3 linked regions of the Lytechinus pictus genome follow. The protein of the gene in region 2 purifies or fractionates together with the protein of the main gene of each other region. This does not show direct contact. Links are inferred from orthologs where the notes say so. Each region holds a gene or a part of one and is shown on either strand. Other genes may lie near its edges. The genes, in order: WD repeat-containing protein 37-like, SAGA-associated factor 29-like and TAF6-like RNA polymerase II p300/CBP-associated factor-associated factor 65 kDa subunit 6L.

Region 1 (3,759 bases), on a different chromosome or scaffold from region 2:
GAAAAATAAGCGTAATTTATACAGGAAATCTGCATAAACCATGGACTCAACCGTGGGTTTTCAAAACCACCTTTATGAATTCAAGCTGCTTAATGTATAGTGAGTGATTGTATTACCGACTGGCCTTGTATTCATCATATGTGTCAGAAAATAATTTCAAACGCTCAAAATTTTACAACATCCTTCCGAAGGGAACTTGAATAGAAAATGATGAAAAATGGTCAAAAACACATTTACAAAGTCTTTATATTCTCAAATAATAAAATACGGTCAAAATAGCTTATCAGTGATTTTGTTTTCTCAACTTTTCCCATAGAAAACATATGTTCAGTAATACAGTACCATTTTCAAGTGACCAAAATATTTCACGAGAAGAGGGGTCCGATTAAAAGCGGATATAGTATTAGTAATTAAAAAAAACAATTTCAACAAAATTGTTATATTCTGTAGGTATTTGTGTAGATCTATTTATGGTTAAAGTTTTGTGAATTTTATGAAAATAATGTATCTGATATGATCAAATCCATGAAAAGTGTTCAGTAATATGATCCACTACCATACTTGGCCAATGAAAAGTGTGATCTTGACCCGATAAAACCAGTTCTTGTTTTGAAACCTATACCATTTTAAACTAAAGCATAGGCTTAGGCCTAGTTAGATCTAGATATTCACTCAGTCTCAGGCTCTCAGCTTCATCATGATCTAAAAATCATTTGGGCTCAAACAATAATAAAACTTGAGTAAAAAGGAATCAAAGGCAAAGCAAGTGAAAGGGCAAGCGTGCACAAGTTGCACCGGGTCGCCAGGCGATGGTACGCCAGATCTTCCGGGTCGGGCAGCGTGTCATCTGGTCATGACCCGCTGCCGCTGGTTATCGCGCTGTTTCACGTGGACGTACAAGTCAAGTGAAATCTAAAGTAAAGGATTCGCATCTGAAACTGTAGTGAACAAGGGCAGACAACCACGTGGACTCGAACGATCGGACGATTGCTACGCCATTCTCGTTCACTGCTCCTATTCCTAACTTGCTAAAACCATTGGAAACTCTCTATAAGTATAATTATTACCGGTACTGACTGTGAACCCTGTGGCTGTGCCTGGCTGGCTGTGACCTGTGTGCATTGCCATTGATGTTGAGCTTGTTTACGAAGAGTTTTAATACACTGTCACTGTATAAAAAGTCTGTAACTTAGTCTAGACTCTAAGTCTGTTAGTATGGTTGGAACTACCCCTTATCGACCACCTAATCTTCTAAGCATCGTATCTGCGAAAATATTCATCAATTTTACCCAGTTTTCGTCTCATTTGTGCAGAAAATTGAGCAGATCAGATTCCCATGTTTCGCTCAGCGACTCCGATTCAATCCGCGTATATATCGACGAACAACGAATACGACGATTTCACATTTGCTCATTTGCACCCGTCTTTTGAAACCGACCACCCGCGATACACTAAGTTTACGGCCGATTCTTGTCGCGGTGGCGAAATATTTTTATTCTTCCAAATCAGTTTTATGATGTCATTGTCAACATGCTAAATGATCGTCTCGCTACTTCCACTGCGAGCTCCGGCACATGATTCGACGATTGATGACGGATATTTGTTCTAAAGCCGTTTCCTATCGGATTTCTTGGTTTTTCAGCGGGGTTTGGGTCTGGTCAATACAATTTTGATTAATTCTACTGAATTTTTACTTTTTGTTGCTTCTTTTTTTCTCGTAAAATCGATTCTTACCGTTTCTATGGACACTGCGCCTTCTCTCCCGCGCGTATCGTTTGTAATACGCAATAATTTTAACACGCGCAAGGTGGTCGGTTTCAAAAGAGGTGGTCGATATTTGGTAGTCTCACCTTACTGAGTGTTAGTTATTATAGGATGGGGGGGGGGTCGGGTGTCCGGACACTTTATATTTTTGAAGCCTTCTTTTTTGTCTTTGGATTACACTAAAAATACAAATTCAATAGGTAGTTGTAATCATCTTCTATTTTGTTCTCTATAATATTTCCTGACATTTTGTACTAACAATTGATAAAACTTCCCTTGTAATTTTTTCCAAATGACTTTCTAAAATTGATCGTCCGGACACACAACAACTGGGTATACTATTATTAGTAAGTAAGTGTTAGTGTTAATAATAATAATAATTCAGAGTGGAGAAAATATAGATTTAGGCCTAGGCCTATCAATCTATACCTAATTCTTGAGGTTGAATGATCCCGAGCTGGATGGCAAAACTTGTGTGCGTCACATCCAAGGTCACCTCACTCCAGTCGTCTAAATTTATGCAAAACTGGTCAAGTTATATCGGCAAGCGATCACAACGCAACGGTAATGGGATAACAAACAACTCTCTTCACTTCAGTATTCTACACAGCTAGCTAGCTGTACACATATACGGTATCACAGTACAGCGCCAGCTCTGATGCATCTGAGGTCGCGTCTGCGCCCCCAGGATCGCCGCGCCAGCGTACCGTAGCAAAGATACACTTTGACCGTAGCGTACGGGCGCGGCGCGCCCCCGTCCCCCTGGCCAGCCCGGCGATCTCGGTACCGCTTGCTGCCGGATTCCCACCACCACGACGTACATACGTAGGCCTACGTCTGTTGTAGTTCCGCTTCGTCCTCGAAAAACTCAGCCGTACAATTTTCGCTCGCGCTCTAGCGCTATCCTGACAGTCTACATTATAATACTATACCATCCAGAATGAAAAGGGGCTGAGCCTGAGATAGGTTTTTTGTGATCGTTTGGCACCATTTTATAGAGTAACTGGAGGTACTGCTAGCCTCAGGGGCGTAAAAAGGGTCGTCAAACATTTCTCGGTTGTAATTGTATCCGAATTGTATGAACAGACAGTGGCGTATATTATATACTGCAAAATTGGCATAGAAGACAAAAAAATCACAGCTTTAAGTTACGATAAAGCGAAGCAAGCAAACATTTCGACAATTTTATTACCAACATCAATAGATTTTGACATAATCAGAAAATATATCTTATCTCCACCTGTTCGCCACTTTCAACAGGATTTTTTTGTATTGTGCGGAGCCTGATTTGGGCCATATTTAGGGCAATTTCTATGCCGCAGTACGGTAACGTGATGAGTAAAAAGAGAGAGAGGGGGGGGGGGGGCACATGCCCCGGCGATACGGCGTGTGGCAAAAAAAAAAGCTGCTTAAGTCCCGATCGAGCGAGCGAATAAACAAATCACTTTTTCATGACGGAATCTAAGGTTGAGATAGATTTTTACACCTTATTCAGAAAATAGGCCTAGTCTTCCATTTAAGTTACTTGCTTATCTTTCTTTGATCCTTTTTTGTTGTTGTTGTTGTTCTTAGTTATATAGGCCTAACTATATTGGTGACCGTCAGTGGCCCAAACCCTGAATCTGGTAGTGCTATTATGCGGATCACGGGCCCCCGACGGGCCCCCGGAACCCACACTGCAAAAACTCCGGTGTTGATTTAACACCAGCCCGGAATCTATATATGTCCCGGGATATGTCCACACCAGTGAAGTATTGAAACAACGGTTTAGAATCAAACTGATGCTGTTTTAATACTAATTGGTGTTGTATAAACACGTATCTTTCTGGTGTTAGACCAAAACGAAACTGGTGTTGTTTAACACTTCTCTGGTGCATGTGGACATATACTATTCCGGGCTGGTGTTAATTAAATCACACCGGAGTTTTTGCAGTGCATTCTAAAACCTTATAAACATGCATGGCCGCTATTTTTAATCAAATCAGGGTATATAGC
Region 2 (3,759 bases):
GTGCAGGCATACAATACAGGCTTACATGTACCTGTATTGTACATAACTTTCTTTTATTCAGGCTCTATGCCAAGAGTTATGCTTGCACCTGTATTGTACATAACTTTCTTTTATTCAGGCTCTATGCCAAGAGTTATGCTTGCACCTGTATTGTACATAACTTTCTTTTATTCAGGCTCTATGCCAAGAGTTATGCTTGCACCTGTATTGTACCTACATGTAACTTACTTTCATTCAGGCTCTATGCCCAAGAGTTACTATGCTTGCACCTGTATTTCATATCACTACAGTATGTTAAGCTACCTTATCTTGTTTTTTAAAATGAAGCCAAGAACTTCATTCTTTATAAAGAACTTTAAGGAATTTCCTCAAAAAATCAATAATGAAAATCAGATGTTAGTGGCTGATCTAGAAATTAATGTGAATGATTTTTTTTGCTGCATCCTCATATTCAATGAAAGCTGGATCTGCCCGTGGGTATTATAAAAGAAAATGTGACTGGGGAGAATGAGGAATACTATCATACCTCTTGGTCGCATGTCAAAAAGTGGTCCTATTGACCGAACAGAATAAAAATGGTCAAAAAATTATTCTTTTATGTGTTACAGGTATTACCATTCTGTAAAAAAAAAAAAGTTTTTAGTCCCAAAATACCTTTCTTTTCCTTCACATGACTAAATGCTACCTGTTACACAGACATCAATGTAAATATGAATTTTCAAATGCGTTTTTCTCCAGTTAGACCTGCTGCACATAAAATGGTGTTATAAGTTAATGCTACATCGGATCAGACTTTTGCAGTTTTAATCTTGTAACATGGTAGAAAAACAAATGATTTTCTGTTGTTGTATGCATATCAATTACACTAATTAACAGTTCACAATTAAGTTAAGTAAATAAGCCAAACACATGCATGGACATTTGAAATTAAGGGAGAGAAATGATTTTGCATAATATATTTTATTTAATGAAATTTATGCGACAAACTGATATAACCAAGCTGATAATAATGGGTTTAAATGAAACTGCACGAAAAGACAATCATAATGTATTTCCTTCCAAGCTAATGTAAATAAATAAATGATAAATTTAATTGGAAAATGATCATCACAATTGCTATTTTCTAACTTGGCCAGACTTTAAAACACAAGACATTTTTATCCATATGAGGAGTAGATATACATTGTGTCTTGTTTATTTAGGATACTCTCTTTTTTTGTAAATTGATATTCAGAGACTAGTTAACTCTTAACATGCCATACACACTACTAACCCAACGCCACAGTGCTAATCCAATGCTAATCCCCTGTGCCAGCCACAAAACCCCCCTGTGCCACATTGATTTTGGGATCGCGAGTCGTATTCACTCCTTTCAATAGTCATGATTACAATTGCTTGTAACTCTCTAACGATTAGTTTATCCACAAAATATTGTGTAAAGTTGTAGGAAATTTCATACCCCTTATAATGGTGTCCTCATTATATGGATTGGTTATTATCTTTACCGTTAAAATATGAGTTGTATCAAGTAGTTCCATTTTGTGGAGTGTTTTGTATGGATAAAAAAACCTAGGTCTCTTCCCTTTTGGAGGCGGAGCCATATCTTGTAAAAAATGTAGTAATACTCGAAAAAGTCTAATGTAAACCGCGTGAGTAAGTTGATCTGTCAGAAAGCAGAGTTCGCACTGCACACAATAGTGCTAATTACGGCGTGCATGCGATGCGCAATACAATGCAAAACGGCGTAACAATGATTGTAATTCCGAATGTGCGCAGTCATGCACGAAGCAGGCGAGGGTAGGAAACAATGCAAGCACAAAGCAATCAATAGTAGGCGTGCGAGCACGAGTGTGGCATGTTATAGTTGGATACGTAGCGTGCACGAAGCACTCAATGAGTTAAGGGATACTACATTTATTAAAAAACTACTATTTCATTTTGTACTCCGGCTAACTTTTTATTTACTATCACAGAAATTACTACTTATTATTTTCATGAGCTTGTGCTGTTTAAGAGTAGATTGGAAATAAAAATCAATAACAACAGTTATTTCCTTCTCTCTTTTAGGGGTGTAGTCTATCAAGTTGAAAAATATTATTTTATAAAAGTATTTGAAAATGTCTGATAAATCTTAACTATATTTCAGCATAGTCATGTTATGATTACAGAATTTTGATTGATTTAAGATCCATAAGAAAAGAAGTTACTCCAAGAACTGCTCCCCGCAATAAATTTCTCTTTCTTTTTTGCTTGTTCTTCCTCAGCATATCACAGATTACAAATTAATACCTAGAGTACGCTTGGGTAGCTGGCAATTTTTTCATTATACGCTGGTAATTGTCTTTAACAAATCTCCACTCATGAAGATGAGAAGAGGGAAATCGTCCGGGGGCACACCCTTGGCCTCTAGCAAGGATGAAAAGGTGATGGCTCCCAGCTCCATATCCCCAGAACCAAACATGGATTCTCCAGGCAAGACTCCTCAGTCTGAGGGTGCAGGAGGGAGTGGGACAGAGACAGAGCCCAAACCAGAGGAAGAGAAGACGGGAGAAAGCAGTAAAACCAATGTACTACATGTAGGGACAGGTTCAGCATCCATACAGGAGATGCTAGCTGAGCTATATCGTCTTGTCAAAGACACACATAAGGTGAGTTCAATATCAACACAAACATCTCAGATGCTTTCACTGCTCTGCCAACCACTGTAATACACATTTTGCAAGTCCTATAATTGTATAAATTTAAAAGATTTGAGGAGTTTGGGGGATTGTATAAAAGTTTTTCTGATATTTGTCACCAGATCCCATATTCTGTAATTTGTCTGAATACAAATATTATTATATTCAGAGTTGAATTAATCCATTTTCTCAAAATTCTAATATCTTTCCTTGTATCTTTTACTGAGCAAGCACGATATCAAAGCTATATATAAATCTGAATAGGGCACACAATTACGTTATCTTTGTTAAGTTAACTGCCTTGTAAATAAAACTGACAGTTAGGGGATATTGTATTTCAATGTTGAATGTGTGTTTTCTCTTGATAACAAGAATTATTTCTTGCTGGTTCTTGCAAGAACATCTTGTTTTACAAGAGGACACCTTTCAATGATAGATTTGCAGACTTTTGGTAATTTTTAGATCGAATTAAAAATGATGGTTTCCTTTTCACAATTGCCATGCCAGGGAGAATCATAAGCAATGCTTATGCTTGCATGCTATTGTGTGCCATAAGCATCATGGGCTCAAGGGAAATTACACCTCATGACAACAATGTGCCTAATATTTTTACAGAAGAGACCCTTCTTTTGGTTGATTTACTCGTACTAAACTCTTGATTAGTTGACAAAAGAAATGGGTATGTCAGAGATGAGGTATGGTATCTCACTGTGATAACATAAAAGATGTAAGAAAAGACAAGACAATCAGAGATGTTGTTTATGTCATGAGCAAAATAAACCTGAACAGATGAGCATTTACTTATAAACTTCAATTTATTAATTTAAAGTGAAGTCAGTGAGTGAAAAACGGTAATTGGTAGAGATAACTATTTACAGGACATTGTCTTTAGGGAGCCTTGCTCAAAGTAATTTTTTTATGGAAATATATGTATGGTACTTTATGTTAACTGAAAATACACTGTACCTAAGATAATATGTAAATATACTAAGATGCTATAGACCTACAGTGTATACATTGATATTTATTATTGGCCAAATACCAATGGAAAAAGACTACACAGCATTATAAAATCTGAAAG
Region 3 (3,759 bases), on a different chromosome or scaffold from region 2:
ACAGGGCCGTGGAATGGAGGTCACTGAATCCTTTTGTAGCACTGCCATAATCCTTGTCATTGCTGTTGACTGTCTGTCCTGCAGGGGAAGTGAAAAATAGCAGTCCTCATAAGCAAGGACAATCCCATTGTCATCACCAGCCCACCTAATGAATGTCCTTGACAACAGCATACACCTGTTCACAAAATATTGCTAAATGTTATAATTCAGTAACTTTGTTATTTCGTTGTCAGATTTTAAGGAAATTTTCAGCGTTTTGCTTGGTGAATTTTAGTCTGTTTTAGGTATAATTATTTTCAGCCCAAAGCACCTCTTTGAGAATGAGGCAAACTTCTCATATAGAAACGTGAGTAGATCGTAGCCATTCAACCTGGTGGTGGGGTAATCTGCACTGAACGACTAGCCCAAATTATCATGAACAAAAGTTTATAGTGATTCTTCAGTCAATTTAGATAACCCCATCCTGAAAAAAAATGGCATTGAGAGAAATATTTTCTGTTCATAATATATGAACGTGCATGAAAATGCTTGGATTCTGCCCCCTCAACCCTAAGCATATTCATATATTGCCAATGAAAAGCATTTTATGTATGTCTATGCGTGCCTCTCTCGACAACAATCGGGCAATATTCAATCTAAGTACATTATATTGCTTTTTGTGATGGACATACTGAACACACTTAGTTTCTTTTACTCGTAATCATATTCACGATTGGATGGATAGCCGTGGAAACATTTTGTTTGCTTTTATTTTTGAACAATTTTGCTACTTTTTACCCTCACAATTCTTGACCCTGATCAGGCGTCTGAGCTCTGCTGCATTTTTCTAGGGTGGGGCGGGGGGGGGGGGGATAACACATACTTGTTCCATGATTGGAGATTTTATTTAACTTTCTAAGTCAGATCAATATTATAATTATAATGTTAGCACTTTTTAGCAAGGGATACATATGGAAATCTTCTCTTAACCTCTCAAGTGGTGTATATTTCCATCTGCTTAGGAAACCTCTTTATCCTCACTCCTCTCTTACTCTTTCTTTATTTCCCTTTATTCTTTCTTTATCTATCTCCCCTATCTTTTGTTTATTATTATCAGCCTGGAATGTTTAATCTTTCCTCTTCTTTTTCCTGGATAGGCGAGTTCTCAATTTATGAAGCATAGCAAACGGAAGCGGATGACGTCTGATGATTTCAACAAAGCTCTAAGATGGAGTGACGTAGAGGTAAATAGATACCCCATCTGCCCAGCTGTCACCGAGCATGCCTACGGCACTTATCCAGTCTTTGATTGGTCCATTGAAGATTATACAAATAATGAATGTTTATAAGTGCAATGTACAAATACTTCATGAGAATTGAGATGAAAGATGAAATGATCCATTCAACAAGGCTACACCTTGTTGAATGGATCATTCATTTCATCTTTCACCAAATGAAGTATTCTGTCCATTGCACGAATGAAAAACATTATTTTGTTTATATGACACCTAAAAATCGATGCTTGTTATTTGAAATTCATGAATTTTGATGCAAAATATGCTCATACTGTGCACAGTGAGAGCTTGGTCTGTTGATTGTCACGTACATGCGCTGCAAACACAAGTGTTTTACTTGTGGTGCATGGGGCTGGCCTGGGGTCTCGGTACGTGCGTACAATGGACAAAATTGTATGGATCCATAATTGCACGGATGATGATGTCATGAAAAATGGGCTGAATCAAACAACCAATCAAATGGCAGGGATCAAGGTGTCATATAATGAATCTTAATGCATACATTTCCATTGCCAAGAAATGATTTCTCATGTGCCAAATTAGCAATTCACCTGTATAGTTTAGAGCATTGCTGCCATATAAATAAAAATACTTTGCATTAATAATTATTTAAAAAAGTATAAAGTCAAAGGATACAGCATTAAAGATGTAACAAATTCAAAGAATTATGTGAAAGGTGTAGTACTAATACACCATGTCAATGAATTACAAAGTGGTTGGATTATTAACAAGTAACTACTGGAATCATAAACTTGTAGGCTGTTTATCATAAAATTTAGTACATAGGCCTACTAATGAATTGGGCCTAAACAATTATGATAATTTGCTGTTTTGTTTTTCCAATCCAGCCCATTCATGGTTATGGGTCTAATGAACCTGCTGTGTTTAGACAGATTAAGGATACTAATCTTTATTTTGTGGAAGACCGAGATCTGAGTTTACCTGAGATCGCCATGGATACCAAGATACCCAACAGTGCAGGAAACACCTCTCTAAAAGGTTTGGTATTACATGTACATGTATTATTTTGTTTTGTCATAAACATGCTTTCTATTGATTTTATCATACCAAAGTTTTCTGAATGGATGGGTTTTGAAACAAAATATGAAAACAATCTTATTATACGGTATGAGATGTACACAGAAGCATACAATTAGCAATTGCATTGACTAAGACAATGTTTCATAAAGCTGTTTGGAATTTATGCCTGACTGATGAATTTTTCTTGTTCTGTAATAATATAGTTTCATTTCTTATGATCATTTTTAACAGTTGAATAATATTGAATTTTTCCATTGATGATTGTTAGAAAATGATGATTTTAATCTACAAAGATTGGATTTTATGATTACCAAATGTGAATCGAATTCAGCATTCACTAAATGGTCACCAGTTGATTTTCAAGTCATGCATAACTTTTAACAGCTTAGCACCATCCCATTCTGTTTCATGAAGTTGTGTAAACAATTTTTTATTAAATCTATTACTTTATGATGACGTGCCTCCCTTTCAGTTAACAAATTCATGAAATATTATTTTTATAATCCCTCTTATGTTTTTGCTGATTTCTGCAGCTAATTGGCTAGCTTTAGAAGGTGTTCACAAGACTGTTGTTCAATCAAGTGATCCAGGTATGTTGTTTTGAAAAATTAACACCATGCACATTATCCAGACAATCATTTTCTACTCTCCAGTCTCTCCTTCTGAGTTTTGAAATATCAATCTGAGTTTAAAACCACATGTCTATCTTGATATTTTGAAATCCATGAATATCGAATATAAAATGTATTTAGTGTTCTTTGACTCGATTTCTTGGTCACAAAGTTCATGTCCTGGGGCATTCCATGTTTCAAGTAAACTCAAGTATTGATAATTAATTGACATACAAAAAAATCTTATCAAAATTTAAAAAGTTTATATTGCACTGTGCTGAAAGTTAATGTAACATTCAATATCATAAATCATACTAGATTATCAGGTCTCAAAGTAAAGAATTAAATTAAAGCAATTTTTTTAAATGTAGATAGGGTTTCAAAGGGCTGGAAATTTTGGAAAATTTCCATGGAAAGTTTCGGGAATTTTCGGGAATTTTTAATTTTTCACAAAAAGTGATAAATTGTGATTTTAAATACAAAATTATAAATTGATATCCTCAAATATTATATTTTCACTTGTATTTAAACTATTCTTCATTCTTTAAATTGCCCAGAGTATAAAATATTCATCAAACTGTACATAAATACATTATAGTACATGTATCCAGTAACATGATGGAGCATAATGTACAAAATGATTTTTTTTTCAATTCAACAATGAAAAAAATAAAACTTTGCATTACACTATTTTTCATTTTTCTTTAAATGTCAAGGGTTTTTTTATGTACATATAAGAACCTGCCTTCCATGTGAATAGAACAGTGCCCCCTACATGTCTGCACGCACAGACCCTTATTCAAACTTTGATCCACAAGTGGGTCTTCACACAA

The links.
Region 1: the proteins of SAGA-associated factor 29-like (region 2) and WD repeat-containing protein 37-like purify together in Homo sapiens (affinity purification with mass spectrometry; 3 studies listed by BioGRID and IntAct, counting the BioPlex papers as one, with this or other methods). This does not show direct contact. The link is inferred for Lytechinus pictus from reciprocal best matches to the Homo sapiens genes SGF29 and WDR37.
Region 3: the proteins of SAGA-associated factor 29-like (region 2) and TAF6-like RNA polymerase II p300/CBP-associated factor-associated factor 65 kDa subunit 6L purify together in Homo sapiens (affinity purification with mass spectrometry; 4 studies listed by BioGRID and IntAct, counting the BioPlex papers as one, with this or other methods). This does not show direct contact. The link is inferred for Lytechinus pictus from reciprocal best matches to the Homo sapiens genes SGF29 and TAF6L.

The regions. Positions count from the first base shown.
Region 1 is NC_087247.1:25,765,385-25,769,143, reverse strand, and holds the start of WD repeat-containing protein 37-like, read right to left. Parts: upstream 2,602-3,759; 5' UTR 2,194-2,601; intron 1-2,193. UniProt on the Homo sapiens protein: Required for normal ER Ca2+ handling in lymphocytes. Together with PACS1, it plays an essential role in stabilizing peripheral lymphocyte populations.
Region 2 is NC_087246.1:3,895,287-3,899,045, forward strand, and holds the start of SAGA-associated factor 29-like, read left to right. Parts: upstream 1-1,455; 5' UTR 1,456-2,360; coding exon 2,361-2,648; intron 2,649-3,759. UniProt on the Homo sapiens protein: Chromatin reader component of some histone acetyltransferase (HAT) SAGA-type complexes like the TFTC-HAT, ATAC or STAGA complexes.
Region 3 is NC_087251.1:8,182,396-8,186,154, reverse strand, and holds the start of TAF6-like RNA polymerase II p300/CBP-associated factor-associated factor 65 kDa subunit 6L, read left to right. Parts: upstream 1-1,139; 5' UTR 1,140-1,151; coding exon 1,152-1,223; intron 1,224-2,122; coding exon 2,123-2,273; intron 2,274-2,848; coding exon 2,849-2,905; intron 2,906-3,759. UniProt on the Homo sapiens protein: Functions as a component of the PCAF complex. The PCAF complex is capable of efficiently acetylating histones in a nucleosomal context. The PCAF complex could be considered as the human version of the yeast SAGA complex.